Arabidopsis thaliana: one gene and its partners. The protein of the gene in region 3 purifies or fractionates together with the protein of the main gene of each other region. This does not show direct contact. Each region holds a gene or a part of one and is shown on either strand. Other genes may lie near its edges.

Region 1 (6,508 bases), on a different chromosome or scaffold from region 3:
TTAACATAACTTATGTCACATATTAACCAAAAAACTTTTGATATAGCTTTTACCAATAGAATTGAAGAGAACTAGAGAACCAACAACACTTATTTACATGCAAAAACTATCATGGCAAAAAAATAAAACTATCTTTGATAGGGCCAAGGGAAATCTTTGTTATGGCTATAAGATCCTCGAACAGCCACATCCGAAGACAGTTTGTGGTTGGCAATTGAGGAAATGGACAATGATCAATTTGGATTTGGGAGAGAGAAAGAGAGAAAATCTATATAACTCATTGATATGATATGGTTTGAGGATAGTGTTTGAGTGAAGTAGGGTCACACACCAATCCTACTTCATAAAATCGATTTCCCAAGTGAAAGCTTGATGGTCTCTATATTATTATTATACATAAACAATTATCTATTTTCTTTTTACATATCACTATTTTTCTTTATGAACTTTTGATGTTTACTCATTTTTGTTGGTCTTTGATTTCTGATTGCATGTTCCCAACTCTTGACCTTTTAATGGTGATAATGAAGAAAGAAGTCGTAGAACTACCTTATCTCTTTACCCATACTACGTTTCAAAAGACTAGTTTTAAAGTCTCTAAGATCTAGTGAAAAGAAAAGTGCAAGCAAGTATAGCCACAAACAGAAGAAGATAAACAACAACAAAAATATAACAAGATAAGTTTAAACCAACATTAAAAAGAATATAAGAAGAGTCTTTGTTTCATTTTGGTGGTGTTGGCGTCTACTACACCAACGGATGAAACAATCTATTGTTTGTCTTACTGTTGCAATTGACGTTTGTAACGGCTGGTTTAATAAACACATTTTGGTTAATGCTAAATTCAAAAAGTTATTACAATATTAGTTATGTATGTACTTTCTCATTATTGTTTTATGTTAACTCTATGTTACGTTTAGGACATAATCAGAGTTGCTTGTATCTGAAATCGCAGGTAGAATCCTGATCATATGAACTGTTAAGAAAACAATCTCAAGACACATCTTTGAGATTAAGAACAATCCGAGATTAAGAATAATCATATAAACTCACTGTTTGGAGTCATTTTTTGTTCCCCAAGCAGTAAAATTCTGCAGTCACAGCTATTAAACGACATACAAACAAAAAAGGTACAAAAAATAAGAACTGGACTAGTCAAGCTGCCCAATTATCTCAATGGATCTAAAAGCTGCAATCAAAGGGTTTCTCTGTCGGTTTTCATGCTCCAATGGCTGTATCCATGTCTGCAACACCATCGGCTCCTTTGAATACAACTCTTACCTTCGTTGTGCACGACTCTTTCTCATTGTTCTTGAGGGCTCTTTGTCCAAACACGTGGATAGTGTCCTTCTGGACTCTTCCCATGAGGTCATAAAGCGGCTTGCTTAGCTTTGGTCTGTGAAACTCTTCTAGAACCGGAGGTGCCTGCATGTAGAGAGTGTTTTCCCCCTGTTTAACACTTGCTTTTGACAATAGAAGCTTCGGGTGATCTTCAAGCATCTCAATGAACTAGGACAAAGAAAAACAAAACATGAACAAATAAATGGTAAAGAATTGAGACGCAGATTTACATGGACAAACAAAGCACGAGTAAATTGAGATTTAGCTAAAACCAAGCCTGGAAAAGCGAGGAGATAGTAATAGAGAAGATAATTTAGCATGAATGAAGCAATACGTGAGTATGAAAATCAAGATAATCGTGGTATAAAAAAGACAATGAGATGATAATGCGAGAGGAAGGACCTTTGATAAAGTGACTGAGGTGTCCAGCTCAATCAGAATGCCCGGACCACATACAAGACATTCGGTGTCCCTCTCGAACTTTGTCACTTCAGTGTAAAGACCCTCTCCACCGTTATACCTTGCGAAAATGAAAACCAACCAAATTGCAACATTGAATTATTTGTAAATTCATATATTTAACTTTTAGTAGTCTAGCTGTACTCCGAACACTAGTAAGTAAGGTGGAAAGAAAGAAATAAACCATACGTCAAATAATTTACAAGTGTTTTGCTGCATGCAGACACAATCTTCAAGGTTTCAAGTGCACAAGCTGCAGATATTATCGCATTGGTGGAAGCAATCGCCGGTATTATGTTTTTAACCACACCCTACACAATAAAACAATCGTCCTCTCATTACTTCTTCATGAATACAAATAGCATACGGATTTCATCGTCCATGCTTAAACAGTCACCGGTACTTCAGCCGAGGACTGGAAATTTACGAAAGTGAACACAAAGAATAAGAGAGAACGGTTACATACTTGTGTGAGAGAGTATGTGACACCTGGAATTCCAAAAAGCTCAGCTCTCCTGATAGCCTGTGAAGTAATGGTAAATATAAAATAAACCCAAACCCAAATTAAAAAACTATAGCATAAACAAGTAAAAGAATAACTAACCTCATCATAAACCCACTTCATATGTTCTGGTTCATCAGGATCAAAGGTTTTCCCACGATGAACCTGCAGAAGTAAGAATCGAGTTTACCATGAATAAACCAAATACGTATTCACTAGGAAAGAAGAGTCTATTTCAGAGAGACTACAGAAAGAATTCATTGACATACCGTTTCCCACTGAATAAGATGAGCATATTCAATGCAATGAGCTGCATTCCTAGGGGTTTCTGCAAGAGTGCACAACGGAAACTTCACTTGAGGTGGGAAAAGATAAATAGTGCACTCAAAACAGGGTGTAACTCCAGGCAAGATAACTCTAGCATGACCCTTGAAACCTTCAGTTCCCCCATCTACCATTGGCTTGATCGTTTCTCTTTTCGGAGTATCATCTTCATTATACTCTACATTTCACAAGCACATTATCAGACAGAGAACTTCAAAAAGCCGAGGGATAAAGTATTAAAGGTTAAAGAATTTGCATACCAAGAAACCCACAAGCTACCCCATTGATGTATTTGCGAGCTTCGATAGAATCAAGACCAAGAGCAATGATATTAAAATCGTTATAAAACTCAATCTCTTTGTCTTCTATACGTGAAAAATGCGGCACAATCTCTACTCCACTCACTCTCTCCATTACACGCTTTGCTGCTACCTCTGCCTTAGGCTTTCCTACATCTTCAATCCTAAAACAACAATCAACCAAATTTCAATTCCCACAAAGATAGCTAACAATTTCACAAACATACCACACACACAGGGAACATAATGGATAGGGTTTATAGTGGTAAAACCAAAGAGACAAAAGAAGGAGAAAAAAACCTGAACAGGAACTGGCGATTGAGATTAGTAACCTCAATACGGTCCATATCAATCACTTCGAGATTACGAAAACCAGAAAGAGCTAAATCCTTGAGAAGCTCACAACCCAACCCACCCGCACCAATCACCAAGATTCTCACATAATCCCTTATGTCATCCCTCAGCTGTATACAGAAACAAACTTAGCTCAGAAAACCCACAAAAACGATACGGAATATAACCGAAGAAGCGAATTGAGGGATAAAAGGCGTTTACGCCGGGTCCGGGTACGAAGCCGGGGTCAACGAGATTCCCATGACGGAGAAGAAGCTTGTCAAGGTCTCTAGTTTTACTTTGAGGAACTTGAGGAGGAACATCGAGATCAGCCATTGAAACCGAGAGAGTGGCGGCGATTCACGGAGATTGATCACGGCGGAGAGAGCTCAAAAGACGCAAAGCCGATACACTGCCACAGAGCTCCGAAACTTGTATTGGCTTCTCTCTTTGAGCCGACCCTTATAGTTATTGGGTCAATACTGGGCTAGGCCCAAAACAATATTTTATTAGATCTTGATTATATTCCTTGGTTTAATTTGGACATTTATTAAAAGTTTTTTTTATAAAAGGTTTGTTTTAGCAAATCTATCTTATTAGAAAAAATTTGTGGATTATTCTGACTATTTATCACCTTTTTATATAATTTTAGCAAATTTTCCATTATATTGTTTTAATTATTGTCCCAAATTTGGTTATATTCATTTTCTTATTAATTAACTCTGTTACCAGTCCCTTACAATTGTTTTAGCAAATCTTATCTTATTAGATTTTTAATGAAATTTTGTGGATTATTCTGACTACTTATAACCTTTTTGTATTATTTTAGCAAATGTTCCATTGTCCCAAGTTTGGTTATCTATATTTCTTTTTAATTAATTAATTCGGTTACCCAATCAATCTCTCCTAGACGCGAAGAAGAAAAGAAAGACAGACACATATCAAGAGATTCAAGATGGAATCTATCTTTGATTCTCTGATAAGCACCGTTGGTGTGTTAGTTGCTTATAGCAGTCGTATATATATTTTGTGTCGGCTGCAATTGCTCTTGGTCTGCTAACGGCTGCAGTCGTATCCTTATCATCATCATCATCATTATCACGGTCCCAAGGTTTCACGATGAGACCAACCGAGTGATGGATTTATTTTGAATAAGTTACTGCTATGTAAGCTCTCAAGTCAACTTTCGATTTCTTTTCAATTAGGTTGGTATTAATTAGTTGATTATATATGGATCTATATATAAGCAAAAGTAAATAAAGTTTTCTGAGTGTTACATTTACTAATCCCTTCTTTTTTTTTCTTCGATTACACCAGATAATGCTCCCCGAAAAGCTCTTGAACACCGAAGCCCTGGTCCCCCGTAGTAAAATGGTTGTCGCAATTGTTGTTGGACTTCTTATTAATAGTATAGTACTTTGGAAAATTTGGTCCTTCGCGTTAAGGGCCCGGGAGATTTCTATATAAAACTTCTCCACTCCAATTAATCGTTGATGGATGATAAGATAAGACCGTGAAAATCGTTGGTGGCTAATAACCGATCGGCACGGTATTGAACCATAGCATAAAGAAGCAAAAGAATGACAAAGCTCATCATATGCCCAACTTCATACGTTGTGTGGCTCACCATGACTATACCTTGACAAAAAAAACAAAAAAAAAAGTTTGTTAAAGAAGAATTATATACATATTTCATATATTTATATTTACATTCTCACGAAAAAAGAATTATTTATCCTATTATAGTACATATTGTCTAAAACATAATATGTTAAATTACATAGACTCATTTTTTGTAATATTTTTTTGATATGGGTGAAAAATATGGGATCAATTACGAGATCAGGCCTTTTTTCTCTGTGTCTTTGTTCAAAACAGTATTTTTCAATATGGTACTACAATTAGGTACTTTTCTCAGCTGCATTGATGTTTTTATCCCAATCTCCAGTTCTGCAATTTACCCCAACGAGAATGGTCTCTGCAATTCACCAATCTCCAGTTCTTTCGTCTCTACAATTCACCATAATCGCAACTCCTTCAGCTCTTTCCTCGACTCATAAACTGGTGACAAGTCTCGGTCCGAAATCAAAATCCACCTACTAATATATGTCCAAATCTAAAATTGATTTCATTTGTATTTTGAAATTCTTAGGTTCCCTAAACATCATCCCTTTAGGGTATATTTTTTTTTTTTTAAAACGTAATTAATTGGATTTGTTGAGTTAATAGATGAGAAGAAGATCTATGAAGCATCTGGAAATAAAAACAGAAATAGATCGATGAAAAAGAAGAAGAAGCTGAATCAGAGTAAAATCGTCTAGTGATAAAAAAAAAATGCCCATTTACATAAGCCCACATGAAAATGCCCATTTTCAAATATTTGAGCTAAAATGTCCTTATTTTTGTAAAAGCCCCGAAAAATATGACGAATTTATGACAACAAAAAAAACTGAATTATTACATGTTTGAAAACATTTGGTATAGTATTATTTATTTATCTCATTACAATTTTGGTATTATTTATGTAAGTATATCAATTTGTATTTATTTTTTTTATATGGTAAAATATAGCTTTAAAAGCAGCGGAGTAGCCATGGTGCACTGGTGGTAGTGATGCGCAACCTAAGTTGTGTAAGTTGTAACATGTAATCGATTCTTTGTCGTTGAGCATTTTTTTTTTAATTTGTTAAAAATTATGTTCTATAAAATTAAGGTATAGATTATCTCGAATGTTAATCAAAATATATAAGATGAGTCATTTTAATCTACTGTTGAATAATTAGCGTTATACCAAAAAAAAACATTTGATCTGTTTGATGGCTTAATTATTTTATCACAACTTCGAAAGGTTATGGTGGTGAACCATACAAGCGGCAAAGTGATGGTTGTAGTGGTGTCGGGTTAAGTTTTTCTCAGACGAGTTATTTGTTATTTGTAAATATGATACTATGTATTTTTTACCTTTAAAAAGTTTCAAAATATAATAAATGTTTTTAAAAAATTCAAAATGCAAATATTATAATTATTTATACTTATTAAAAGGTAGATATTATAATTATTTAAAGTTCATAAAATGTTGAAAATATTTATAATTTTTGATTTTTTATAATATTTATTATATTTTGAGACTTTTTAAAGGTAAAAACTAAAAAATATATAACATATAACAAATTTACAAGTATCAGATCTTTTAAAAAGTACTAGTTTACTTTCATTTGCAAACTAAATCATCTATAGATGAAGTCAAACG
Region 2 (8,251 bases), on a different chromosome or scaffold from region 3:
TGAAACTTTATTCATCAAAATTGGGTACCCACACGTTAACCAAAGAAGAAACCTGAAAACGAAGAACCCATTAGCCACTAAGTTTTGTTTTGTTTTTGTTCTCGTACCCGATCTTATCTTGATCAGAATTCTTCTCTAAATCCTCTTTTCAGATTTTTGAAAGATCCAAGTTTTGTTAGCAATGAAGGGAATGAAGGAAAGATTGGTGAAGAAAATCAAACTCATCACCACTGTCAAGACGTTGAAGCAAAGCTTAACTCTTCATAAGAGTACCATTGATCGCACAATCCATCATCTAAGAGACGAAATAGTCGCTGAATCTGGTCAAAGCAAAGGTTGTGTTACACCAACACTACTAGAGCTTGAGGATGCAGAGGAACATAATCTTGAAGAAGAAAGAGGGATTCTTCTGGAGTTTAAAGAGAATTGCCCACCCGGAGGAGAAGATTCGGTTGTATTCTACACGACGGGCCTGCGAAGTGTGAGGAAAACATTTGAAGCTTGCAGAAGAGTGAGATTCTTGTTGGAGAATCACCAGGTGATGTATAGAGAGAGAGACGTTTCCATGGATTCAGAGTTTAGAGAAGAGATGTGGAGGTTGCTTGGTGGGAAAGTTACCTCTCCGAGGCTGTTCATTAGAGGTAGGTACATTGGTGGAGCAGAAGAAGTTGTGGCATTGAACGAGAACGGGAAGCTGAAGAAGCTACTACAAGGAATCTCACAGGTTGATTCACCTTGCGAGTCTTGCGAGAACGAAAGGTTTTTGATATGTTCTAGCTGCAATGGAAGCACAAGATTGCTTGCAGAGCATCACGATGAAGAGAGTAGTAATGATAATATGTGGACAAGATGCAGAGAATGTAATGAGAATGGACTTGTGAAATGTCCTCTTTGTACGTAGTTGCTGTTATAAGCTAATAATAACTATCTGATTTTTAACTTTGTAGTAAATGATGTGTGAGAAAAACGTTTTGTATTAGGATTGTTTAATCGTATTATGTTTGTAATGAATAAGTGAAAAACACCAAATTTGAAAATTTAGTTCTAAATTTTAAGAAGTTAACTCTATTCTCATACATCAAAACTCTCTCTATCTCTGAAACTCAACTTCATATCCCAAGAATACAGTAATTATTAAAAGCTTCTCTCGTTGGGGACGTTAATTAAAATTCTCTAATCAGGCGAAGTAGACTGATACGAGAGGGATATCAACGTCAGCATCATTATCATCTTCACAAGCGACTACAACATCCACGTGACGTCTATAAGCAGGCAATTCAACCCCAGCCACGTCTCTTGCAAGATCCACCACTCTTCTGTTCATCCTCTCTTTATGCCTTGAGAACATACTGTTGTACAGTAAACTGCTTCCGCAAGATATGCTGTATGCGTTTAGCCCTTTCTCTTTTAGCCAGTCTAGCAACTCCCTTAGGGTCGGGTTTCCCCTCATCACCCACCGGTCCCAAACAGTCCAGCTTTGGTCTTGGTGCTTCACCACTTTAGGTGGAACCGGCTCAGCCATGGAGAAGAGCGGAAGTGCTAAGTTAGCAAATGTGTTTCTGTAGTCTTCTACTTTGTGTGACCCGTCTAAGACCTTGTACATCTCAAGGCAAACAAAACCTGTTGCCATTGCAGTTGATGTCGCAATCGCGGGTATGATTCTTCCGGCTATGAACTTGGCTTTAAGCTTGTCCACCTCGGGAACACTGTAGTTCCTTGCTCTCATGTTGGCTAGCCCAGCGATCATATCCATGTGGTAGTTGGTATCATCGTCCTAAGAACAGCAAAATAATGTTAGTTTGTTGCTCTTATAATTCAAATACAGAATCTGAAAGATACTTGGATACATTTATGATTCACCTTTTCAAACTGGATTGCCTTCATCCTGAACTCTGGCTGCAAGCTCATCCTGCACCGCACTAGTTTTGCGTTTAGTTCATCGATTACTGCTGCATCATCGACTGAAGCTGTAGACAAAGTTGTAGCCTTCTCATCTGTCACAATAGTTGCATCTTTCTTCGGCTCAAAGTCGGGGACAATTACTCTTTCCACAGCCTCGGCTAGTCCTGCTCGGGTTTTAGCCCACTCAGGAGTAGGGATTCCGAATGTCTCTGCTCGCAAGATAGATGCAGCCATGACAAAGTTGATATGGCTCAGGTCGGTTGAGGAGAATTGGAGTGGGCGAGGAAATCTCTTTGGGGCAGACCAGAACGGAGCTCCTGTACTAGTAGCAGCATCCTCAGGAAATGTGTAACATAACTGCTTCACACGGTTGGCGAAGTAGTCCTCAAACCTGTAAGCAAGCAATTATGTAAAGAGAAGAAAATCATTTTACATATAGTCTCAATGAAGGGTGTGGGCCAACAGAGAGTACCTCAGACGAGCCCAGGTTATGCAATCCTGGAATGAATTGCACTTTTCTTTCTCGAGGCACTCAACAACACGTCCCAAAGTATCCCTTGCTTGGGCATCACCAGCAGTTCTCATCGCTTTCATGTATTCAACAGGATCTGAGAGGTATGCATTAACTTCAGCTGGTGTTTTCTCAAGCAAACCCTCAAATTCAGAGCGAGCCCATGTTAAGCAATGATCAATGTTGTGAGGAAATGAGTGCACGGTGCACATTGGAGCCTGTTTCTCTGGTGGGTCTCTCGAGGCACCATAGTTCTCAGTGAGGTGAGGGATAACCATCTGTGTGTTGCACTTTGCACCTAGGGTTCCTGACTCGAGGAGAGGCTTCTGGAAATACACACACCTTGAATCAACATAAAGCCTTGCAGTGACATTGTCCAAAGCGTTCACCACAACTGTCAAATTCTCCCAGAAGCTGTCGTCAAAGACATTCTCGGTCTCAGGTCCAACACGATTTTGCAGAGCATCAATGTTGAGGCGAGAATTTATTCCAGCTGCTGCTGTTGCGGCAACTGTGGATTTAGCCTGTCCTATGTTCCAATCTCGAAAAAGAAACTGACGACTCAGGTTGCTCTTCTCAATTACATCATCATCGGTGACAGTTAGCTTCCCTTGGGTGCCACATGACACACCCATCAAAGCCAAGTTCTTTAAGAACTCGCATCCAAGAGCACCAGCCCCTACAACAAAAACTCTGGCATCCTCGAGTTTCTTCTGAAGAGTAGACCCAAATACAGAGATCTGTGCATCGTAACGGCTATTTTGTGGTCTAAACTCTGATGCATCAAGAGGTTCCTTGGGGAGTGACTCCACCGAATCAAAGTAAAAGAACTGCACAAATAATGCAAACTAATTACCACATTACCAAGTATAAAAGAAATACTACTAACAAGGGAAGAGAAACTTTAGTCCTGGTATAGGACTCATGTAGAGTAAATGCCTGTATAACATAGATGAACAGCATTGCTCAACAAGTAGAAGTTTAACATACAAAGACCGAACAGATGAGCCCCTGAAAAACCAAACAGAAAAGTCTTTACCTGAAAGATAGGATGGAATTTCCCAGAGCATGCCTTGACAACCTCCTGCCCAACAATGCCACCAAACATTGCAGCCATAGGATTCAGAACAGCCCTGGATCCAAAGGCCAAATGCCGCAACAGTTTAGAGTTGACATCTTCCAACCTTGCATCACCCAAACCCTCATTAATGTCAACTGCAATTTCCACTAGTTTCTGAGCATCTTCTTCTGAACCAGCAAACGGAAATCGGCCTGCTTGAGACGAAAACCTATCAAGTGCTTGGAATGCTAAGTGGAGAAGAGGTGGTCGGTCAAACTTTGAAAAGTCACTTAGAAGAAAGTCGCCTGGATCTTTAAGTGCTTCTCTAAGAGGTTTAAAGTTCAACACCTTTGGTTGTTTAACCTGAGTCACAATGCCACCCTTCATATATTGCCCATAGCTAGAGGTGTCTTCCTCCAGGGTAAATGAAAATGGCTTGACATTTTTTATCTTCCTTGGTTTTCCATCATTTAGCTCTGTCATTCCCTCAACTTCAGAGAAAACAACCAAATTTCCATCTTCAAACTCGAGCCTCTCATCATCGACACACGAAACAAATCCAGGATTTTCATTGCTAACAGAAGCGATGATGCCAGAGTGAGGTTCCTCCCCATCAACATCAAGAACAGTAAAATGAGGTCCAAAATCACAAAACAAAGACCCAAACAGCCCCCTAACATCAGCCTTGATGAATGCAATAGGAGGCTGATGACTGTGACAATAATCATCAATCTCTGTCGCTTTCTCAAAAGAGATATCCACAAATACCACAACCTGCATCAAGGAAAAAAAAAAGAAATCAACCACTAAAGCCAAACATTCTGTACTTTTAGTAGAAACGTTTTCATCCACGTTCAGTCACCTCTAATCTCTTTTACAGATAATTATGTCCATGAATCATGATAGTATTATTAACAACTAGAACAAGGAAGCAAAGACAAACCAAATAAAGGAAGGGTTTGGATACCTGGAAATCAGAAAGCTGCTCTTTGGTTAACTTCCCAGTCAAAGTTGAGACAGCCACAGCATTGTTGAGTTCTTGCAACTTGTGAACAGAAGCAAGTGCTCTATTCTTACCAATGTCCTCCTCCGTGAAAACAAAGTTACTAGATAGGTCCCATAGCTCAACCACATTTTCATCGTGAAGGGTCACTGACTTCACACCAGCTAGAATAATATTCTTGGCTAAATAAGAAAAAAAAAAAAAAATCATCCATCAGAAAGAAGGAAATAACGAAGAGAATAAAGAGCTATACCAGTCATTAGTTCATTACAAATCTATAGTGAATATTGAATAATCCTTCCATTATATAATGTGTCACTAACTCATTAGAAAATCAGGATTAACAAGTTAATATACCAATTTTACAATCTCAACTTCAAGTGCCCAAATGTACACACAACATCAAAACAGCTTAATCACGAAATACGTTTGCTCAAGCTTGAAGCTCTTTAACAACCAGCAGGACAAGCACAGGAATAACATGCAAGCAGAAATTAACAACGAAAAGTACAAAAATCGTTACCAATCTCAACACCAAGGCCCTGCATCCCAGAGATGAGAACGTTGGAAGCGAAAAGCTTCCTCATAGTCTCACGGCCGTAAACGGCGAGCTGTCTGCTATGAAGATCTTCATCGATCTCCTGATTGTTGGAGTTGTCGTTACCAAACTCCGCCATGCTCATCACCGTATCGTTACCACCGATGCTGTTGTTCAAACCGATGCTACTGGAGTTAGAAGCGTTAATCGCAGAACCATCAGCTGACTCAGTGTGATCGATCCGTCGCTTCTTCATCGGCGAAGAAGCAGATGCGATGATGTTCTCCTTAACAACGAATGGTTCCATATAGAGTAACTGAAAGAGAATATGTATCAAATAAACAGAAGAAGCTTCGAATAACAAACAAAGACAATAAATGAATTCCGATGAGAAGGTTCCTAGAGCTAATCGATGAAGGAATCTGAAGAAGAAACGAGAATCGGAGGAAATGAAAACGAAACCGTACCTTTGAGAGAAGATCGGAGGCGATAAGCGGCGAATTTGTTGTTAAAGTAGAAAGAGAGAGTATACTAAGCTTTTGGCTTTGTAGGTTGTGTAGAAAGAAGCGGCGGTATATAACAAAAATTGGGCGATGATTGTTGGGCTTTGAAACTATTTGTGCTGAATTCAGAATCAGCCTGTGTTGTGTGGTAAGTTTTTTCGTTTTTTCAAGTGGACCAGTTTAAGATAAATATCTGGTTTTGGTCTTGTAACATTGAACCGGATTTGAGTATGCAATAGACCAAATTTTAATTCAGGTTAGGTGTGATTGAATTTAAACTTTGAAATTGTTAATCAATCAAGTTTTGTTTTTTATTTGTTGATTGATAAAGAGAGAGTAGTTGTTGGATATTTGAATGTGTGTCGTACTTGCTAATTCCTAAAGATTAATAGACATTTCAAAGAAGTGTAATAAGAGTGAAACTTAAGCATAATGTGTGGAAATGTACCTTATGAACTCAACCATTTTGGTGTGAGCATTTGTGTTTGGAAAATGATATGGGGATGCTCTCTCTATCACTTATACCAACAAACACAATCTATGTTTTATGTGTGATTTCTAAACGAAAAAAATAATATTAATGGATTTGTAGTGTGACTACATTAGCGTGAAAAAAAACTCTTGTATCTTGAGAATTTGACCAACATTGCTTGACAAGTATATTCACGGTTGTATGATAACGATGAAAAATGTCTCACATTATATTTCTTGTGTGAATTGGCGTTGGTAACAAAGATTGACAAGGACCCCTTAAAAAAAAAAGTCAAGAAAAACATTCAAAAGACATAGAATTTCGGTTGAACCGGATTGGTCAGCTTAAATTACTAACGTATGGTTGGTTAAGCAAGCTGAGGAAATGTGTCTCCATTTCGTGATTTCTTCTTCCCTCGCGGGGATTTAGTCTTCTCTCTTCCAGCAGAAACCAGAAGAACTGTTCCTCGCTTACTACGATCCCTAACCGGACGCGAAATTTCAAGGTTCGTCCTCCTCTTAACTTCTCATCAGTTAATGTCTCTTTTAAGTTGAATTTGACTAGTATGATTCCAATTTCAGATGATAGTTAGGGGATTTTATCTCTCGGATCGATCGTTTTGGGTTACAAGAACTAAGATAGAATCAAATGTTTTTGTTTCTCCATTAGTTAATTAGTCTAAGAGATATAGAACAAAAAGTTTCGCTTCTTTCTTGTTATCTTTTGATGCACAGAAAGGTCATGAAACCTAGAACTAGGGGGAGTGATCAATGGTATTTGTAGCCAAAACTAAAAAAAAAGTTTGTTTACCTCTACTTTGATCAATTCGATGCTAGATCATTGTTTATTCAATGTGTGGTCCTTTCTTCACCCAATTTCTCCAAGTTTCCAACTCATGAATACTTGTAGTTTTTTATAAAAAAGAGGAAACCTTATTGGTGCTCAAGTTATATGAGTGATGATTGGATTCACTATCTTACTTTCCACTTCTATTAGTATTGAGATAAGTTTAGCTACAACTTTGTCAGTTATCGTTGAATCTAATTTGATTTGTGAATATTCTTTAGTGTTTTTTCATCACATGGCCTCCTTTGATGGGCCAAAGTTCAAGATGACTGATGGCTCCTATGTTCAGACTAAGACCATTGATGTTGGATCATCAACAGATATCTCTCCATACCTTTCACTTATAAGAGAAGATTCTATCTTGAATGGAAACCGAGCGGTGATCTTCGATGTGTACTGGGATGTGGGGTTTCCTGAAACTGAAACCAAAACCAAAACGTCAGGGTGGAGTCTGTCATCGGTGAAGCTGAGCACTAGAAACTTATGTCTCTTCCTTCGACTTCCTAAACCTTTTCATGACAATCTCAAGGATCTGTACCGTTTCTTTGCTTCCAAGTTTGTCACTTTTGTTGGAGTGCAGATCGAGGAAGACCTGGACTTGCTTAGAGAAAACCACGGTCTCGTGATAAGAAACGCGATTAACGTTGGGAAATTGGCTGCGGAAGCTCGTGGAACTCTGGTGCTTGAGTTTCTTGGGACAAGAGAATTAGCGCACAGAGTATTGTGGTCTGATTTGGGCCAGCTGGATTCGATTGAGGCCAAATGGGAGAAGGCAGGTCCTGAAGAACAACTTGAGGCTGCAGCCATTGAAGGGTGGCTCATCGTCAATGTTTGGGATCAATTGTCCGATGAGTGATTTACTACTTATCTCTGTGATTGCTTCTTTTTTTTTTTGGTTCTTTTGATGGAAATGACTTTGTACCTGAATCAAAGTGATCCTTTGTAAGTTGTTTGATGTGACAATCAACAATCACTAAACAAAAAGTGAACAGTTTCAGATTCTTTAACGTTCGACATTGTGTATGAAACAAACTATATGTTGGTTCTGCTTTTTCTGATATAACTGAGATTTTGTGCTGGTTTGATTTAGGTCTGGTTTTGGCTAAAGATTAGAACAATTTTGTTTTGCTAAGAACAAGAGTGCAAATGGATGTGTGTAATTAGAAAGATAAAATTTGGTGGAATCAAATATAACCATTTAAGTTGAATGGAATAAATTGAATATTCCACTCATTCCAACACTTACAAATTATACTCCTGTTTAAGCTCACCAAAGTGTAAGAGAGACACTAATTTAATAATGAAGGAGAGATGCCAAATTTAAGACAAGAGGACCCCCAAAGATATTCAGGTTTCAACTGTAATAGCATCACCTTCCTATTTATGACTATATTTGTTCTGTCTGTAATTTATAAA
Region 3 (7,164 bases):
GTACTCGATTCAAAAGAAGCACAAGGGACGTCTTCTTTAGTGGAGGATGAATCAACTGGTGACTCTGAGGATGCAGGTGTCTCCCCATTACATCTTAGATCAGCTGCAATGGCGCTCTTGCGACATGGGAACAGAATGCCATCAAGTCGCCGTGAGGAATTGTTGCAGGTGATGTGATCATCTAACTATTTCAACTTTCAAGAAATTGATTTGAACCAAGTATTCTGTTATTGATACTTTCTTTTGGATTCTGAATATAGACTGTGAAGATGTATTACGGTGGACGGGACCTATCTGAAGAAGATTTAGAGAAAGCTTTACTCATCGGATTGAGCCCTCACGAAAGAAGAAAACTCGAAAGGAAAAAAGGGGTCTCCTTCAAACATTCTGCAGAGGTTGCTGGTATGGACAAACAAGAAGGTAACCATATAATAAGCATTGAAAATTGTGTTGGTTGATAAAGTGTAAGATATGATGATCCTTTGATATCCAGAAATACTGATGCAAACAACTTCGTATCTTTAGATGAAAACAATGATGGGGAGGCTCTTGCAGATTTTGAGAAAATTATGACTGTAGAAAGGAGCACAGTTGTTGATGATAGTGGTGATGGTACAAGTGAAGGAGATGGAGCTAAAGAGCTAAATGATACTCAGTGTAATGGGAATACGTTGCACCAACAAAACTCCAAACTCTCTTTGTTAGGACATGGACCGCACGGGAAACAGATCGTAGAATATCTTTTAAGGGAACATGGAGAAGATGGTGTACGTGATTTCTGTCAAAGGTGGAGAAAAGTGTTTGTTGATGCTGTTCATCCTCGCCATTTACCTGGTGGTTGGAATGTTAGTCACAGGTAAACCTTAGATTTACGTCTTCTTTTTAATTATAAACTTGAGGTTCTACTTGGATGTTTATCATATCTTGTTGTGACATGAGACAAGTAACAACTTTTGTGTTAGAGAACCAAAAGTCTTTGAATTTACTAAAAGTGAATTTATGTGGACCTTGTTCTTTACAAGGGTTTGATTGTTTTGTTGCTAGTGGCCGAAGAGACTTTGGAGAATTCAGCGTTTACAATCCCACAAAGAGACTCTCCACCGAGTAGATTTGTCTGTTTCTGTACCATCTCTACCGTTTCGTCAATTTTGGATTGTCATAATCTAGGATTATTTTGTAATCCCCCGACCGCATCAGTGGTTTGTTGTTGTATTCTTCTGTAGACCTCTGTACTTTGTTTTAGCCAAAAGTCTGATCCTTTTAAAATTGCAGTATATGACTATTTTGAAACGATACCAGAATTTTGCTTTAGGAAAGTCATACAAAAATGGCTCTATGCCCATCACTTAACGCGAGCTCTTCGGTTTTGAACCGCGGCTCAAAATCAATCAATATACATGAGGAATTCGAAACTGTTTCTACAAAGAAATGATATCTAGTTAGTCTGGTGTATAGCAGAATAAAAACTCCAAGAAAAGGTTAAGTTTCAACTTGAAGTGAGGGTAAAAGATATGTTGGAGTTCTTCTGCAGCCACCAGTGTCTAAGAATCTTCTATAATGTCAAAGACTGAGACTTGTGATCAATGCCGTTGAAGATGAAAGTTCCTCGCTTGGGAACAAACTGCTTTGTGATGAGCTGCAAACATTGCCAAACCATAAAAGAGGTTAATGTTTGTTTCACACTCCTATTTGATACTGCGGGGTAACCATTTTGAGCAACATGGATATGAAACGAACCTTGATCACTTCTTGAGATGTGATTCCTCCTATTAAAGCAGCAACCACGTGAATCTCTGCAGCACCAAATCTACACATCTCATTGTACAGTTCTTCCTGAAGTTCATAGCCGTCACAACCCATTTCACTAAGAAGACTCAGGGCAATAGTCTTTAACTGGGATGCGTCCTCATCAGTTGATCTATGAGAAAAGAGACATGTTAATGGCCTAACAATGCCAAAATTATTCAAGATACAATCAAATTTTGCCAGAATGTGTTCTCTTACCCATCAAACTGTCCAGGAAACTTCTTATAGGTACCAGCAAATCTATCAACAGCTCTAAGAAGAATATAAAATCCAATTGCGCCACTGCAAGAGGAATAAACAGAAAAGTGGTAAGACCCTTAAGAGCTAACAGCAACATGCCTCCAAAATGCTGCAACTGTAAATATTATTTTTCAGTTCTACAAATATACTCCAGTAATATTTTTGTTATCACAGTCTCTATGGTCGTATAAAAGAATCAATTTTGACGAAGTCATTCTTACCTGTAATTCTCATCAGCCAAGTACTTATGTAGTTCTGTTGTAGAAGGACTTTTGAACTCGTCTTCTATCGTTCTATATCTGCAGACCTACAAGGCGCAATTCCCGGTTTTAATGATACAGTACACATCAAATTGTAAGAAATTTCAGCATTCTCACTTTAAGTTTTCGTGCATTCTTGCAGAAGCTCTTGATAGTTGGCTTTGAGATGCTACTTGGATCCTGACCAACTTTAACTAGAATACTTTTTACTCTCTGTTCCATGGAAAGAAAATCAGCTTCCGCTTTGGAATGGTAGATTTTCTGCAAATTGATGTAGTGCCTGCAAAAGATACAATACAGCTATATAGTAATCTGATAAAGGTGATGGACGAATTTTATCCCTCCCATGAAACAAAAGCAAGAACAGGAGAACTTACTCTGTGGAAGATATCATATCAGGCATGGAACCTTCAAGTGGTACCTCCCCACCACCTTCATTTGAAATAAACTCCTGCAGATGATGCATATAATAAGTAGGGTTAACTTGGATCAGAAAAATCTGAGGAATTTGAGCCATGTTGATGGGAATCAGAAAAAAAAGCTAACTTGGATCAAAAAAATACTAAAACCCCAACAAACGTTCTCAACCCCTTCCATGTTTGAAATATCAATATGAAGTATGTGCTTTGAAGTGAGGTCTTTCAAGTTACAAACCTTGAGTGCTGCTACCATTACCCAAAAATCTGAGGAATTTGAGCCAACTTCAGCACAACTATCATGATTAATGTCTTGAATCTCTTGGCCTGGAGAAAAAGAAAACATGTTTAGTTCAATGTGAAAACTGACTTCATATTTTGAACTCCAATGTTAACTGATCTGTTATGAATGAGCAGCAATGAATCATGCTTCATGAAAATAGTAGATAGTTGTCCATTTGGTTCTCGTTGCAGTTTTTCCCATTCTCCAACCAATTTCTTTATTTCCAGCATCTATAGTATATATTTAAAAGTCCAGTTTCCACCGATGTCAAGACGAGGTGTATGTATACTTACTGATTCCTGTAGGAGCAAAGACTTTGAAAGCTGCAAGAAGGGCTTCTTTGTAATTTTCTTCATCCGCTGATACCATCTTGGACTTAACTAAGTCCTAAAATTTCAAGGAGTAAGAGAGATAAAGACAAGGAATCACAAGAAAAACAAAGATTAATAACTGTTTGCTGATTAACAAAAAGTAAGGATACCTTAAACTCGTTTTTCTCTTCCCTGGTTGATGGAAGGTTGCCGCTATGGTGTTGAGCCCATTCTTCAGCCACCTTGACTAGAATGACGACGTAAGGAATGTGCTTATGGGCAGCGGGTTCTTCTACATTTAGATCAATGGACTCCACATAGCTGCAGATCATTGAATAAATAAGATTTTCTTTCAACTGGTTGCAAGTTTGTGGAGATTAAAAGTAATTTGAAACACAAGTTTAAAGAATGGCAAGAACACATAACGAGTGAGAAGATTGAAGCAGAGTACCTCTTCAGCTCAGGCCATGGACTATTCAAGCGGAGATCATCAAGAGAATGATCAGGCTTTGTCTCAATAGCGGTGTGTTCCTGACAGGAAAGAGCGAACATGACATAGCAGTTAGCAGACAGACCATATGACAAGTGACAAAGCACTCTATCCACAAAAATCTTACCTTTACACTGATACGAACAAACCCAGTAAGTCCATAGGAGCGAGCCAAAACCAACATGACGTTTGCTTCCCGGCAGATTCTATCTAATTTCACCATTGAATCTTCTACTAGCTACAATCAACACATGACAAACTAATAAGGCAAACGCTCTGTGAAAATCTGAAAACAAAGACTAGAAACTATCTAATCCTCAACATAATGTACCTGAGTGGCGATAACTAGAGTGAACTGAGAGAAGAAAGATGGGTCTGTCGATATCAAAGTGTCTGGATTCTCCTCAACAAAATTTGCTTTAACAGAATCGTTAAGCTCCTGAAGAAAGCCACAGACCGTTTTGGCTCTTGACTGACCAACGCTCTTCGCATCCACTGAAACATCAACAACAATCATCAATAAATGTCAATAAACAGCAAATAGAAGAAACGCATTGCTTAAGAAAGATGAAAAAGAGAGAATTATACCCATGAAATTGTTTCCAAGGTCGCCAATTTCTACTTTAGATCCGTCGACAATGGTGATACTTCCGATTCCACCAATAACAAGATTCTTTAGAGCCTCAGAGCCAGTTGGACCACAATTGAGCAAACATATGCTCGCGGTTTCAAGAGCTGATTGACCTAATTCTCCCCAAATCCTATGAATTTATCCCCAATCATCACAATTTGAGCGAAATTAAGAAGAATGATGAAAGAGACAGAGAAGTTGAAGAAGAGAAAGAGAGTTGGGAGGAGAAAGAGTGCACCTTAGCTGACGATCATACTTGGTTTTGGGTTCCGCCATTGTTGGTTCGTGCTCGAGTCTTTCGCGGGTTTTTCAGTGGTTCGTGTTCTCAACTTCAGACAGAGAGAAAGAGAAAGACGCAGAGAGAGAGAGAGAGAGAGAGAGAGAGAGAGAGAGGTTGTGACTTGTAAGAAAGAAAGGGAATGGCATTTAATAAGAGAACCTTAAGTTGTCTCCTTTCTTTATTTCCTTCCTAATTTGGAACATTTACAAAGTTTAGGGCTTAATTGTAATTTTTAAAAATTAAGACTGTATTATTGCAAAAACACCTTAATGTATAAAAGAGATAACAAATTATAAATAAAAACATATAATTTAAAATAAAATCAAAATTTATGTTTTCTGGATTGAGTTTTCATTTATTAAAATATATATATACATGGAAACATATCAAAATTTTATATAAATTGTAAAAATAAATGACATAGCTAGAAAAAAACACATATGTAATTTAATTAAATATTATTAGATGAATAAGTGATAAAATCTCATTATGTAATAGTTTTTTGCCGCCTAAAAATCTTTATTATGAATAAAAAACGCCAACTCAAATTTTGCCTTGCTACGGGTCTCTCTTTATGCAAAAATAAAATGAAATACTATTAACATTTCATTGACAAATTAACTTAAGAGAATAAACTTTTGAGAAGAAATAAAATGATTAACACATGGCAATTAAAATATTTATATTGTAATCTAATCTTAAATAAACTTAACAAAATGGGCCGTTACATGTAGGGCCCAATAATGATGGGCCCCACTGAAAACAAAAATACAAACAAACGGCTGCTGTGACTATAGAGTATATAGACTAGATAGGACTTTGTGAGCTCGAATCAAAAAAGCACTTCAGTCACACGTTTTTCAATTTCTCTCTTCTATTTTGTTCTCAGAAGAAGAAGAATGATGGATGAATTTCTGGGCATGATTTGATCTCTCTAGTTTTGTTTCTCTTCCTTTAGTAATCTCCTGTCAAATCATGGTTTTTTAAAAAAGATAGTTCTTGACTTCTCTTGTTAAAAATTCGTTGCGTTGTCGTAAAATTTCCCTTTTTTAACTTATGCCTACAAAGTGTTTGCGTATATTCCGCAGAGAGAACCAGAAGGTAGCTCAAAGAGGTAAAGAGAATGTCTCACTGTTGTTAATTTCAATGAATTTGTAAAAACTCTTTTTCAGATTTTTCTTCTGTCCGGATGAGTTTGTGTATATAAGTCTTCATATCCACATTGTTGCTAGTTTTCAGCTAAAATAATCAATTTGGTTTGACTTGTGATTGCTCTTCGCTTAGATCTTGATTCGTCTTCTAATCGCATTGACTCTACAGGTCAAAGTTGGAAACTTTACCTTGCTTAGTTCTCTAATCTTCTCATCCTCAATGCTGAATGAAGAGTTGCTAGATTTAAATGAGATGGTTCTAGTTCCAACACAAACTATCTGAAGTGGTCCTTACTTTGATTGCATTATCTCCATGGGACTGGGCATTGACCCATCTGTCGCTATTACGGCACTGATTGTGGTCATTCTGGTGGTTCCAATGGATTGCCAAAGACCTCAACTGGTGAACATCGGTGCTGTTTTTGCTTTTGATTCGGTTATCGGAAGAGCTGCAAAAGTAGCTCTAGAGGCAGCTGTTTCCGATGTGAACAATGATAAAAGCTTTCTCAAAGAAACGGAGCTACGGCTATTAATGGAGGATTCTGCCTGCAATGTCTTTCGTGGGTCCTTTGGAGGTACCGTGACTGTTCTTCTAGTTCTTTTGTGTTTCAAACACTTGTGACACTCATCCATGGCTGATACAGTATATCAAACATATTATAGAAAGCGGTCAATGCACATCAGTAGCAACAATATTTCATTTTGTGATAGTTGGAAATGATTGGCACATCGATTTACGTTTTAATCCGTTTTTTATTGGTACATATTTTGGGTTCCGAATGCTAATAATGCATAGAACAATATAGACCGCATACCCTAAACAGGCTGTTACTAGGACCTGTGTTTCCTGTACATAAGTGGAAACAAAACTTTGGTTTTACCACTAAGGGCCTGGTTTAAGCTTCAGTGGTTTTTGTTTTGCAGCTTTTGAATTGCTTGAGAAAGAAGTGGTGGCTATGATCGGTCCAATTTCATCCTCTGTTGCTCATACAATTTCCGATATTGCAAAAGGGCTCCACTTTCCTCTTGTCTCATTTGCAGCAACTGATCCAACTCTCTCTGCCCTCCAATTTCCCTTCTTTCTTCGGACTACACCTAATGATGCCCACCAAATGTCTGCCCTTGTGGATCTTATCAATTTTTATGGATGGAAAGAAGTGATCTCAGTTTACTCGGATGATGAGCTCGGAAGAAATGGAGTTTCTGCTCTAGATGATGAACTGTACAAGAAAAGATCCAGAATTTCCTATAAAGTGCCGCTCTCAGTTCATTCTGATGAAAAATTCCTTACTAATG
Region 4 (9,166 bases), 900 kb from region 3:
GTTTGGTTGGGCTTTTGTTTGTGTTGCAGTCTAACTGTTCTGCCATCAGCAATGGGTTCACTGACGTCTCTTAGACAGCTTGATGTCACCAACAACAAGTTGACAAGTCTACCGAATGAGTTAGGACTTCTGACGCAGCTTGAGATTTTGAAAGCCAACAACAACAGGCAAATAAGCTTTACTCATATCTTTTAATTGATCGAAAACACAAAAGTTTCAGTCGTAGCATTGTGATTCATTGATTACATTGCTCATGGTCTCTCCATCGTTTTGTATTCTGCAGAATAACTAGTCTTCCTGAGAGTATCGGAAACTGTTCATTCCTCATGGAGGTTGATCTTTCAGCTAATATTATATCAGAACTTCCCGAGACATTCACCAAACTGCGTAATCTAAAGGTAAAAAACAATCTTTTGACTACTCTTTGTTCCATGGCCATGGGTTTACAAATACTGACTTAGTGTTTCGGTATTCAGACGCTGGAGCTGAATAACACGGGATTGAAGACGCTGCCATCGGCTTTATTTAAGATGTGTTTGCAGCTCTCAACTTTAGGTCTCCACAACACAGAGATAACCGTTGAATTTCTCCGCCAGGTTTGTTTGTTCAGAGTTTCATGTTTTGAGTCTATAGTTCTTTCTTCGTTATCTGAACTGAAACAAGGATATTTGTATTATGACAGTTCGAGGGATATGATGATTTTGATGAAAGAAGACGTACCAAGCATCAAAAGCAGCTTGATTTTCGTGTTGTGGGATCTGGCCAATTCGACGAAGGCGCTGATAAATCTTGGTGATCAAGCCAAGTCGAGTCTCGAATCGTCAGTACTCTTAATATATTTGTGGCACTTTCAGTGAAAAAATCTTTCTCCTTCATGCCTATATATTGTTTGCTTACTCCAATTTGAATTGTAGTGTACCAAATAAATTGAACCACTCTCAAATTGAATCCAAAATTTATGCAATGAAACCGAATAAACGAAAACTACGATACCTATTGTTAAAAAAGCTCATCAATTCTATAGCCGAGTCAGTCAGTATAACCGGTAAAAAGGAAGTAAAGGCAAACAGCTTTTGAGTCTAGAATCTTGGGTTGGGGTTAAGAGAAGGTGGTGCTCGAGACTTGACCCTAGATTATATCTTTAGTTCTTTGCTTCAATTTGTTCTCTGTAAATAGATTCACAGAGTGGATATTATTTAAGGTAGATTATATCTTTCGGATTCTTATCGCGAAACACCACCTGCAAGAAGACATGGAAAAAACCGAAAAACTCGAAGATTTGTTTGATAGAACATGTTTAGAAGGTAACGGGTGTGTAAACCACACATTCAGCAATTGTACATAGAAAGAAAGACTAAAATAGAACGAGAGAGATAAAATGAGTCTCTATCCCCCTCAAGTAAAAATCAGTTATCTCACCCACAAGCATCCAAAAGATAATAACGTAGGGCAGATGCAGAGACAAAACACACAAATTTGCTCTCAAGAGTTTCATCTTTCTTCATTCTCTCGAAACTTTTCACCTGAAGTAGATAGAGACGAGAGGAATATCGACGTCATTGTCATCTTCATCCTCACAAGCCACCACTACATCAAGATGGTTGCGATAAGGCGGTAACTCGACTTTCGCAACATCCCGAGCGAGATCCACAACCTTCTTGTCCATCCTCTCCTTGTGCCTTGTGAACATACTGTTGAACAGAAGACAGCTTCCACAAGAGATGCTGTATGCGCTAAGCCCTTTGTCCTCCAGCCACTGCAACACCTCACGAAGAGTTGGGTTTCCCTTGAGAACCCATCTGTCCCAAACTGTCCAAGCCATGTCACGGTGCTTCACCACCTTTGGTGGAAGTGGTTCAGCCATGGAGAATAGTGGAAGTGCCAGGTTGGCAAATGTGTTTCTGTAAGCTTCCACTTTATGTCCTCCATCAAGGACCTTGTACAGCTCGAGGCAGACCAGCCCAGTAGCCATGGCTGTTGAAGTCGCAATGGCTGGGATGATTCTCCCTGCTATGAACTTTGCTTTCAGCTTGTCCACTTCAGGGATGCTGTAATTTCTCGCCCTCATGTTGGCTAGTCCTGCTATCACATCCATGTGATAGTTTGTATCATCATCCTACAAACACATCAAATTCAAAATGACAACACTCAGTTAAAAATTGTAAACAAGACAAGTCAATATCAGTGAAGACGATAACATTGGAGGGTAATATACCTTTTCGAACTGAATAGGTTTCATCCTGAAGTCTGGCGACAAGTTATGCCTACACTGGTCGATCTTAGCAATGAGATCGTCGATGACTGCAGCGTCGTCCACCGAAGCAGTGGTTAAAGTGGTAGCTTTCTCATCAGTCACAATCTTTGCATCTTGCCTTGGCTCAAAGTCTGGGACTATCACTCTGTCAACAGCTTCTGCTGCTTCCTTTGGGTTCTTAGTCCACTCAGGTATCGGGATCCCAAATGTCTCTGCTCGTAAAATAGCAGTCGCTGTGATAAAGTTAAGGAGACTTGGGTCGGACGACGAGTACTGGAGTGGACGAGGGAATCTTTTTGGAGCAGACCAGAATGGAGCTCCGGTACTAGTCGCAGCATCTTCAGGAAATGTGTATATCAATTGCTTGACACGGTTCACAAAGTAATCCTCAAACCTAGTCACATAACATAACAAACACATAAATTATTGCAAAAATCACAGACTCCACAGAGGAAGGAAACGATTTATTCCCACTTCTACATATTGGTTGTAGCTACCTGTTGTGAAATGAAGTTACCTTATAACACTGTTCCTAGTTTTTTATTTTATTTTTTAGTTTCGTAATGATGTTTTCAACGAATAATTAAGCAATCCTGGGATGAAGCACATGACAAAAGCATAAAATAGGAGACTGTAGCAGGACATGAGTAAGACACCGGACTATATTTCATTCCATATTACGACTAGACTATCTAACTAACTATTAAGAGTGATATTACCTCAGTCGTGCCCAGGTTAAGCAGTCTTGGAAGGTCTCACACTTCTCCTTTTCAAGGCACTCAACAATCCTCTCCAATGTGTCCCTCGCCTGAGCATCACCAGCACTCATCATTGAGTTAGTGTACTCAACTGGGCTAGAAAGATATGCATTCACTTCAGCGGGAGTCTTCTCCAGCAGACCCTCAAACTCAGAGCGAGCCCAAGTTAAACAGTGATCAATGTTATGCGGGAAGGAATGCACTGTACACATGGGGGCCTGTTTCTCTGGTGGGTCCCTTGAGGCACCGTAATTTTCAGTTAGATGTGGGATAACCGACTGTGTGTTGCACTTTGTACCAAGAGTTCCAGACTCAAGGAGAGGCTTCTGGAAATACAAGCACCTCGAATCAACATAGAGCCTCGCATTAACATTATCCAGTGCATTGACGACAACAGTTAAGTTCTCCCAGAAGGCATCGTCAAATACATTCTCAGTCTCCGCGCCAACACGGTTTTGCAGGGCCTCAATGTTGAAGCGAGGATTTATAACAGCAGCAGCCGAAGCAGCAACTGTGGATTTAGCCTGTCCAATGTTCCAGTCACGGAACAGAAATTGACGACTGAGGTTACTCTTCTCAATGATATCATCATCTGTCACTGTCAGCTTCCCTTGGCTTCCACAAGAAACCCCCATCAGAGCCAAATTTTTCAAGAACTCACAGCCAAGAGCACCAGACCCTACTGTGAAAACTTTAGCATCTTCAAGTTTCTTCTGGAACTTGGCCCCAAATACAGATATTTGGGCATCATACCGGCTGTTTCTTGGTGCAAAGTCACTCGAGTCCACAGGTTCAGAGGGGAGTGACTCCACTGAATCAAAGTAGAAAAACTGATAAACAAAAAGAGTCACAACATCAGATCCCAATACGAAACTTTAAACAATATAAATGTATCAAAAAAAGAGGAAACAGCTGTAACTTCCCACAACATAAAACATTAGGAAAAAGGAGAGATGCGTATTAGATAATGTTCCTTATTTTCATTAGAATTTCTATTTCTTTATTTACTTTATCTAAACAGCTTTCATTTAGCTTCTAATATATTACATAGGGATGAAGAGAGCTTAGGAATTAATTACTCTTGGGTGTATTTCAACTTCTGTCTTGTTACTTTGATTCGGTTTTAACAAAAGAGAGCTTTGAGTTTAAATTCTAGTGTTTAAAATTCTTAACTCGAACAGAGAACTTGGCATGCAAAGACTAAATATGTGTTCTCACAAGTCTATAGAAAAGAAATTTTACCTGGAAGAGAGGATGAAATTTTCCAGAGCAAGCTTTAACAACCTCCTGTCCAACAATACCGCCAAACATTGCAGCCATAGGATTCAGGACAGCCTTGGCTCCAAAGGAAAAGTGTCTTAGAAGCTTCTGATCAACATTCTCCACCTTTAAATCACCCTGCCCGGTATTGATGGCTGTGGCAATCGATATAAGCTTCTGAGCGTCCTCTTCTGAGCCAGCAACAGGAAATCTGCCAGCTTCAGCTTTAAAATGATCAAGTGCCTGGAATGCTAAGTGAAGGAGTGGAGGCCGATCAAACTTAGAGAAATCACTAAATAGAAAATCCCCTGGATCCTTAAGCGCTTCCCTCAATGGCTTGAAATTCAGTAACTTTGGCTGTTTCACTTGAGTGACAATACCACCCTTCACATATGTTCCATAGTTAGTAGTGTCCTCATCAAGGGTGAATGAATATGGCCGTGTACTTTTTATCTTCCTTGGTTTCCCATCATTCAATTCTGTCATACCCTCAACTTCTGAGAAAACAACTAGGTCACCATCTTCAAACTCAAGCCTCTCATCGTCGACACAGGAAATAAATGCCTGGTTCTCATTAGAGATAGACGCAATGATGCCTGTATGGGGTTCCTCTCCATCAACATCAAGAACCGCAAATTCAGGCCCAAAATCACAAAAGACAGAGCCGAAAAGACCCCTGACATCAGCCTTGACAAAAGCGATAGGAGGCTGATGGCTGTGACAATAGTCATCAAATTCGATTGCTCTTTCCATGCTTATGTCAGAGAATACAACAACCTGTTTGGCACAAAAGTAGATGTATCAGCGTAAAACCCGCCAACAAGAAACACACACCAATGAGAAAAGTGTACACCAATCTTCCATATCAATATCAATAAACACTAGAAATAGCCTAACACTAAATGAGACAAAACCCATCTCTTATATGCAACGAAAATAGAACAACCCACTCTTATGTTACTCATTCAGTTACAGTGTTATCATAAACTCACAAGTAATCTACAGAACGATACAGTACACAAAAGACTCAGACCATATAGAACCAATAACAAGACAAATGAGTTGTCTACAAACCTGGAAGCCAGAAAGATCCTCTTTGTTTAAGCTTTTGGTCAAGCTAGAGACAACCACAGCATTGTTAAGATCCTGTAACTTCTGAACAGAAGCATCTGCTCTATTCTTGCCAACATCATCCTCCGAGAAAACAAAGTTGCTTGATAAGTCCCATAGCTCTACAACTCTTTCATCATGCAAGGTCACAGACTTCACACCAGCAAGTATAAGATTCTTGGCTGAAGAAAATCAACAAATAAAACAAAAACTGAATGAGAAAGCAATCGACTAAAAAGTATCATTAACAGTTCACATTTACCATGCATCTTAGAAAACTGGCATATAACGAAACCCCAATAACAAAGATATCGAACAACTAAGGAACATCAGGAAGCTACTAAGATTTGGATGTTGAAGAATACCAGCAATCACAGATCAGGAGAACCAAAACAAAACAACTAAAGAGTAAAATCTTTGAAGATGACACAATTATTCACAGCTTCTAATAACGACGCATACGAAAACAGTGTTTCTACAAGTTTCAAAAACCAAAGAGACGAGGGAGACCACAATCTCAACATAAAACCAATGAAGTACATACCAATCTCGGCACCAAGACCGTGCATCCCCGAGATGAGAACATTGGAAGCAAAGAGACGCCTCATAGTCTCACGACCATAGACGGCGAGCTGGCGACTGTGCAGATCTTCATCAATCTCCTGACGGTTCGAATTACCAAAAGCCATGTCGATTTGCTGAACGACGCTATCGCCGTGAAAACCCCTGCTACTACCAGAAGCTAAAATCGAAGAAGACTTATCAGACGAAGATTCAGTGAAATCGATACGGCGTTTCTTAGATGATGCTAAATCGGAACCGATGATGGTATTATCGTTCTTATCGTTAGCTTCACTAGCTCGCTTGTGAAGCATAAAGTGATGAAAAAACCTGGAGAAAACATGTGAAATTCCCATTAGATTAGAGAACACTGAAGAGAGAAAATCCGATCAGAATTGAAATACCTAACCCTAGATTGATTCTTCGGAAGCTATGAGAAGGAAGATAAAACGTACCTTTGAGGAAAGCAGACGAGAGAAGATTGGAATCGGAAAAGAGAAAAAGTTTTTGAGATCTGAAAATTGAAATTGAAGTGACGAATTTTGCAGAAATCTCTAAGATTTATTTAAGAGAGACGGGCGAACGAAAGGGGTTCGGTTGTGGGGGGATATGAAACGATGACGTTTTAACGGTTAAGGTTTGATTTGTCGCTCTTTCTCCGCGTGATTGTGACGGCAACTCTCTGACCGGGGGACACGCGTCCGTCACTATTTCAAGACCAGATCCGGTTTAGTTAATTTCTTATGGATCCTTCTTATGAATCTGTATTAAATCTGAAATATTGCTTTCTTTTTTTAATTACCAAGTTCAAAAAAACTCACATCTTCTTTTGGATAACTGGAAACTTTAATATTATAATTAAATATTAGATCAATTTCCAGCTATGAATATTATAATTAAATACATTTTCTTCTAAAGTTTCTCAAAACAATCTTTTGAAAAAAAATTCATGACTTTCTATGACTTTATTTTGTGAAAGAAAATGTAGAAAGTCATGAACCAATAACATAATAATTTAAATCATAAACAATCAGAGATTTTTTTGTTTTAATAGAATAACACAAAAAATTTACTGACTTTATAAAAGTATGAATTCAATAATCTAAAATTTATGAAGATTTTTAGATTACTTTTTACAAATCTTTAATGAATAACACAAACTTTTAACATACTTTTAAATTTTTTTGATTAAATAACAACAGATTCTACATGATACTTTAAGTCACTAAAACTCTTTTGAAATCATAAACCAATAACACCTCCTTAACTCGTGGTTAGTTTATACAAAAATAAAACTCTATAAATTAATACTTGATAACTTACTTAATCACTATATTAATAAACGATTGTAAATTGAAATTTAACTTATGATTAGTTTGGTTAAAAGTGTAGATTTTGGAGTTGATGTTGCAATTCCATGGATAGACGATCTTGAAATATTTGATCGCAGTCCATGGGAGTGAGATTTCATCAACTTTCAATTTCTAGAGGGAGAAAGCAACAAGTCGTGGGTCTTCTTTTATCCAACTAAAAATGTTCATCTTGGATATTTTAATTGCAATGGTGCTCTTATAAAGTGGGGCAGTGTCAATTACTATGTTCATCAGTTTCAAATGGGTCAAGAAGTTGTGAGCACTTCTTCTAAACTAGCTTACTTAAGGTATCATGATGATTTACCCATAGAGTTTGTGGATGATTGGCTAAAAGGATGGAGTTTGGCAGAGTATAACTACAAAGGCAAAAGTCTCTACACTCTCAATTTCTCACCTCAGGCCAAGTCATTCATCACCCTAAGAAAAAACAAAAATGGAGTTGTGCAAAATATCTTCCCAAGACGAGTACTAATGATGCTGGTAAAAGAAAGGAATCCACTGGTGCTCCCAAAACGAAGAGGATTGCTAATAAAGACAAGGCTGACAAAGTGGCAAAGAAAACTAAAACTGGGGAAACCCTGAAGGTGAATGTACTTCAGAAGCAATACGAGTTAAAGGCATTTTGTCGAGCTCGACAGGCAGTATTGAGCTAACTGATAATGAGGGTAAGTGAAGAACTCTTCTATTTGTAAGAAAAAAACAGCAATTTAGATATGCTTAAAAGATAAGTTATCTTGTCAGGTGATCGTGCTCTATCTGATATTGGTGCTGCATTGGATGCTAATATGAGGAAGCAAAATCTGAAGCTTTAAGAAGGAAAGGCATAATAGATGCAGTTGAAACCTGGAAGCAAGCTAAGGAAGAAGAAAAATGGCTTCGTGACTACGAAAAGGTAGGTGAAGACCTGTGATACATCAAGAGAAGATTGACTTGATTAAAGTAAGCATTTCTTATTATATATTCTTGATCGTCTTTATAGGATGGAAACCTCTTCAATCTTGTAACTCGTAAGAGGAGAGTACGAACACTTAGAACGTGCTAAGAGTCTTGTCATGCAAATTCCTGGTGAGTCTTTATACGCGTAACCCTATTACCCTCTCTTTTTGAAGTAATGAACAAAGACTTAAGATGATAGTATTGTGTTTCTTTTCTAAGCCATGATTGAAGATCTAATCATTGAAGTGAAGGCTTGGGAAAAAGAAAGAGGAATCCCCTTCTTATATGATAAGGAAACACTTTAATGTAAACTTGTTGATTAAGCTTGTTTTTCTGATTCTGATATTGATTTGAGTAAACTTTGTGCATGTGGTTTGATAAAGCTAGCTTTTGATGTATGCCTCTGTTCTTTCTTTTTATCCCCTAGCACCCATTATTACAACTTTTGGAGGAGGAGATTGCAAATTGATTTGTATCAGTAGCTACTGATACAAATCAAGTGAAGTTAGTTCTGTAAAGGTGGAGAAATTTGCCAGAGAGGAATTGCATCAACTGTTGTTTGCCCGTGACTGAGGATGAACTCGAGTGTGTAAGAGGTTGCATGGAACAGAACAAACACACTCTGCCTTTTTCTTTATTCTTTCAAACAGTTGGTATTCAAGAAATTGTAGAGAAATAATGCACTAACAAAATGTAGCAGAGATTTTTCATGCAAAGAACCATCAATATGTCTGTCTAAATACCTTATATATTCAAATTTAATATGTTGGTAAGTACAAATCAAATGGAATAGTTTTAAAAATTTGTAATTCTAAAAGGACCACAAACTCTTGTCCTTGTTTGTTTATAGTTGGATGAGGTATGTAAATTAATGTAAACCTCAAAAATCGAACTGAGAATACAGAGTAGAAAAA

What was found.
Region 1: the proteins of AXL (region 3) and ECR1 fractionate together in Arabidopsis thaliana (co-fractionation; one large-scale study listed by BioGRID). This does not show direct contact.
Region 2: the proteins of AXL (region 3) and UBA 2 fractionate together in Arabidopsis thaliana (co-fractionation; one large-scale study listed by BioGRID). This does not show direct contact.
Region 4: the proteins of AXL (region 3) and UBA1 fractionate together in Arabidopsis thaliana (co-fractionation; one large-scale study listed by BioGRID). This does not show direct contact.

The regions. Positions count from the first base shown.
Region 1 is NC_003076.8:6,450,461-6,456,968, reverse strand, and holds ECR1 (E1 C-terminal related 1), read right to left. Parts: upstream 3,722-6,508; 5' UTR 3,595-3,721; coding exon 3,481-3,594; intron 3,390-3,480; coding exon 3,226-3,389; intron 3,090-3,225; coding exon 2,887-3,089; intron 2,805-2,886; coding exon 2,572-2,804; intron 2,468-2,571; coding exon 2,405-2,467; intron 2,324-2,404; coding exon 2,267-2,323; intron 2,112-2,266; coding exon 1,990-2,111; intron 1,862-1,989; coding exon 1,744-1,861; coding exon of another isoform or gene 1,603-1,743; exon of another isoform or gene 1,510-1,602; coding exon 1,219-1,509; 3' UTR 936-1,218; downstream 1-935. UniProt on the Arabidopsis thaliana protein: Catalytic subunit of the dimeric ECR1-AXR1 E1 enzyme.
Region 2 is NC_003076.8:1,967,309-1,975,559, reverse strand, and holds UBA 2 (ubiquitin activating enzyme 2), read right to left. Parts: upstream 5,601-8,251; 5' UTR 5,482-5,600; intron 5,331-5,481; 5' UTR 5,322-5,330; coding exon 5,000-5,321; intron 4,659-4,999; coding exon 4,441-4,658; intron 4,248-4,440; coding exon 3,453-4,247; intron 3,244-3,452; coding exon 2,375-3,243; intron 2,294-2,374; coding exon 1,861-2,293; intron 1,775-1,860; coding exon 1,178-1,774; 3' UTR 1,033-1,177; downstream 1-1,032. Other genes in the region: AT5G06470 (Glutaredoxin family protein), read left to right, coding at 182-901; AT5G06450 (Polynucleotidyl transferase, ribonuclease H-like superfamily protein), read left to right, coding at 7,071-7,691. UniProt on the Arabidopsis thaliana protein: Activates ubiquitin by first adenylating its C-terminal glycine residue with ATP, and thereafter linking this residue to the side chain of a cysteine residue in E1, yielding a ubiquitin-E1 thioester and free AMP.
Region 3 is NC_003071.7:13,755,251-13,762,414, reverse strand, and holds AXL (AXR1-like protein), read right to left. Parts: upstream 4,823-7,164; 5' UTR 4,714-4,822; coding exon 4,676-4,713; intron 4,568-4,675; coding exon 4,395-4,567; intron 4,302-4,394; coding exon 4,138-4,301; intron 4,045-4,137; coding exon 3,934-4,044; intron 3,848-3,933; coding exon 3,768-3,847; intron 3,638-3,767; coding exon 3,487-3,637; intron 3,393-3,486; coding exon 3,299-3,392; intron 3,050-3,298; coding exon 2,961-3,049; intron 2,758-2,960; coding exon 2,684-2,757; intron 2,587-2,683; coding exon 2,424-2,586; intron 2,354-2,423; coding exon 2,268-2,353; coding exon of another isoform or gene 2,264-2,267; exon of another isoform or gene 2,162-2,263; coding exon of another isoform or gene 2,131-2,161; exon of another isoform or gene 2,089-2,130; coding exon 2,005-2,088; intron 1,919-2,004; coding exon 1,738-1,918; intron 1,637-1,737; coding exon 1,553-1,636; 3' UTR 1,263-1,552; downstream 1-1,262. Other genes in the region: AT2G32415 (Polynucleotidyl transferase, ribonuclease H fold protein with HRDC domain-containing protein), read left to right, coding at 1-168, 261-420, 526-856, 1,045-1,108; GLR5 (glutamate receptor 5), read left to right, coding at 6,182-6,443, 6,793-7,164. UniProt on the Arabidopsis thaliana protein: Regulatory subunit of the dimeric ECR1-AXL1 E1 enzyme.
Region 4 is NC_003071.7:12,851,113-12,860,278, forward strand, and holds UBA1 (ubiquitin-activating enzyme 1), read right to left. Parts: upstream 6,616-9,166; 5' UTR 6,399-6,615; intron 6,274-6,398; 5' UTR 6,258-6,273; coding exon 5,927-6,257; intron 5,565-5,926; coding exon 5,347-5,564; intron 5,050-5,346; coding exon 4,255-5,049; intron 3,843-4,254; coding exon 2,974-3,842; intron 2,649-2,973; coding exon 2,216-2,648; intron 2,117-2,215; coding exon 1,520-2,116; 3' UTR 1,217-1,519; downstream 1-1,216. Other genes in the region: AT2G30105 (LRR/ubiquitin-like domain protein), read left to right, coding at 30-167, 284-398, 477-596, 683-796. UniProt on the Arabidopsis thaliana protein: Activates ubiquitin by first adenylating its C-terminal glycine residue with ATP, and thereafter linking this residue to the side chain of a cysteine residue in E1, yielding a ubiquitin-E1 thioester and free AMP.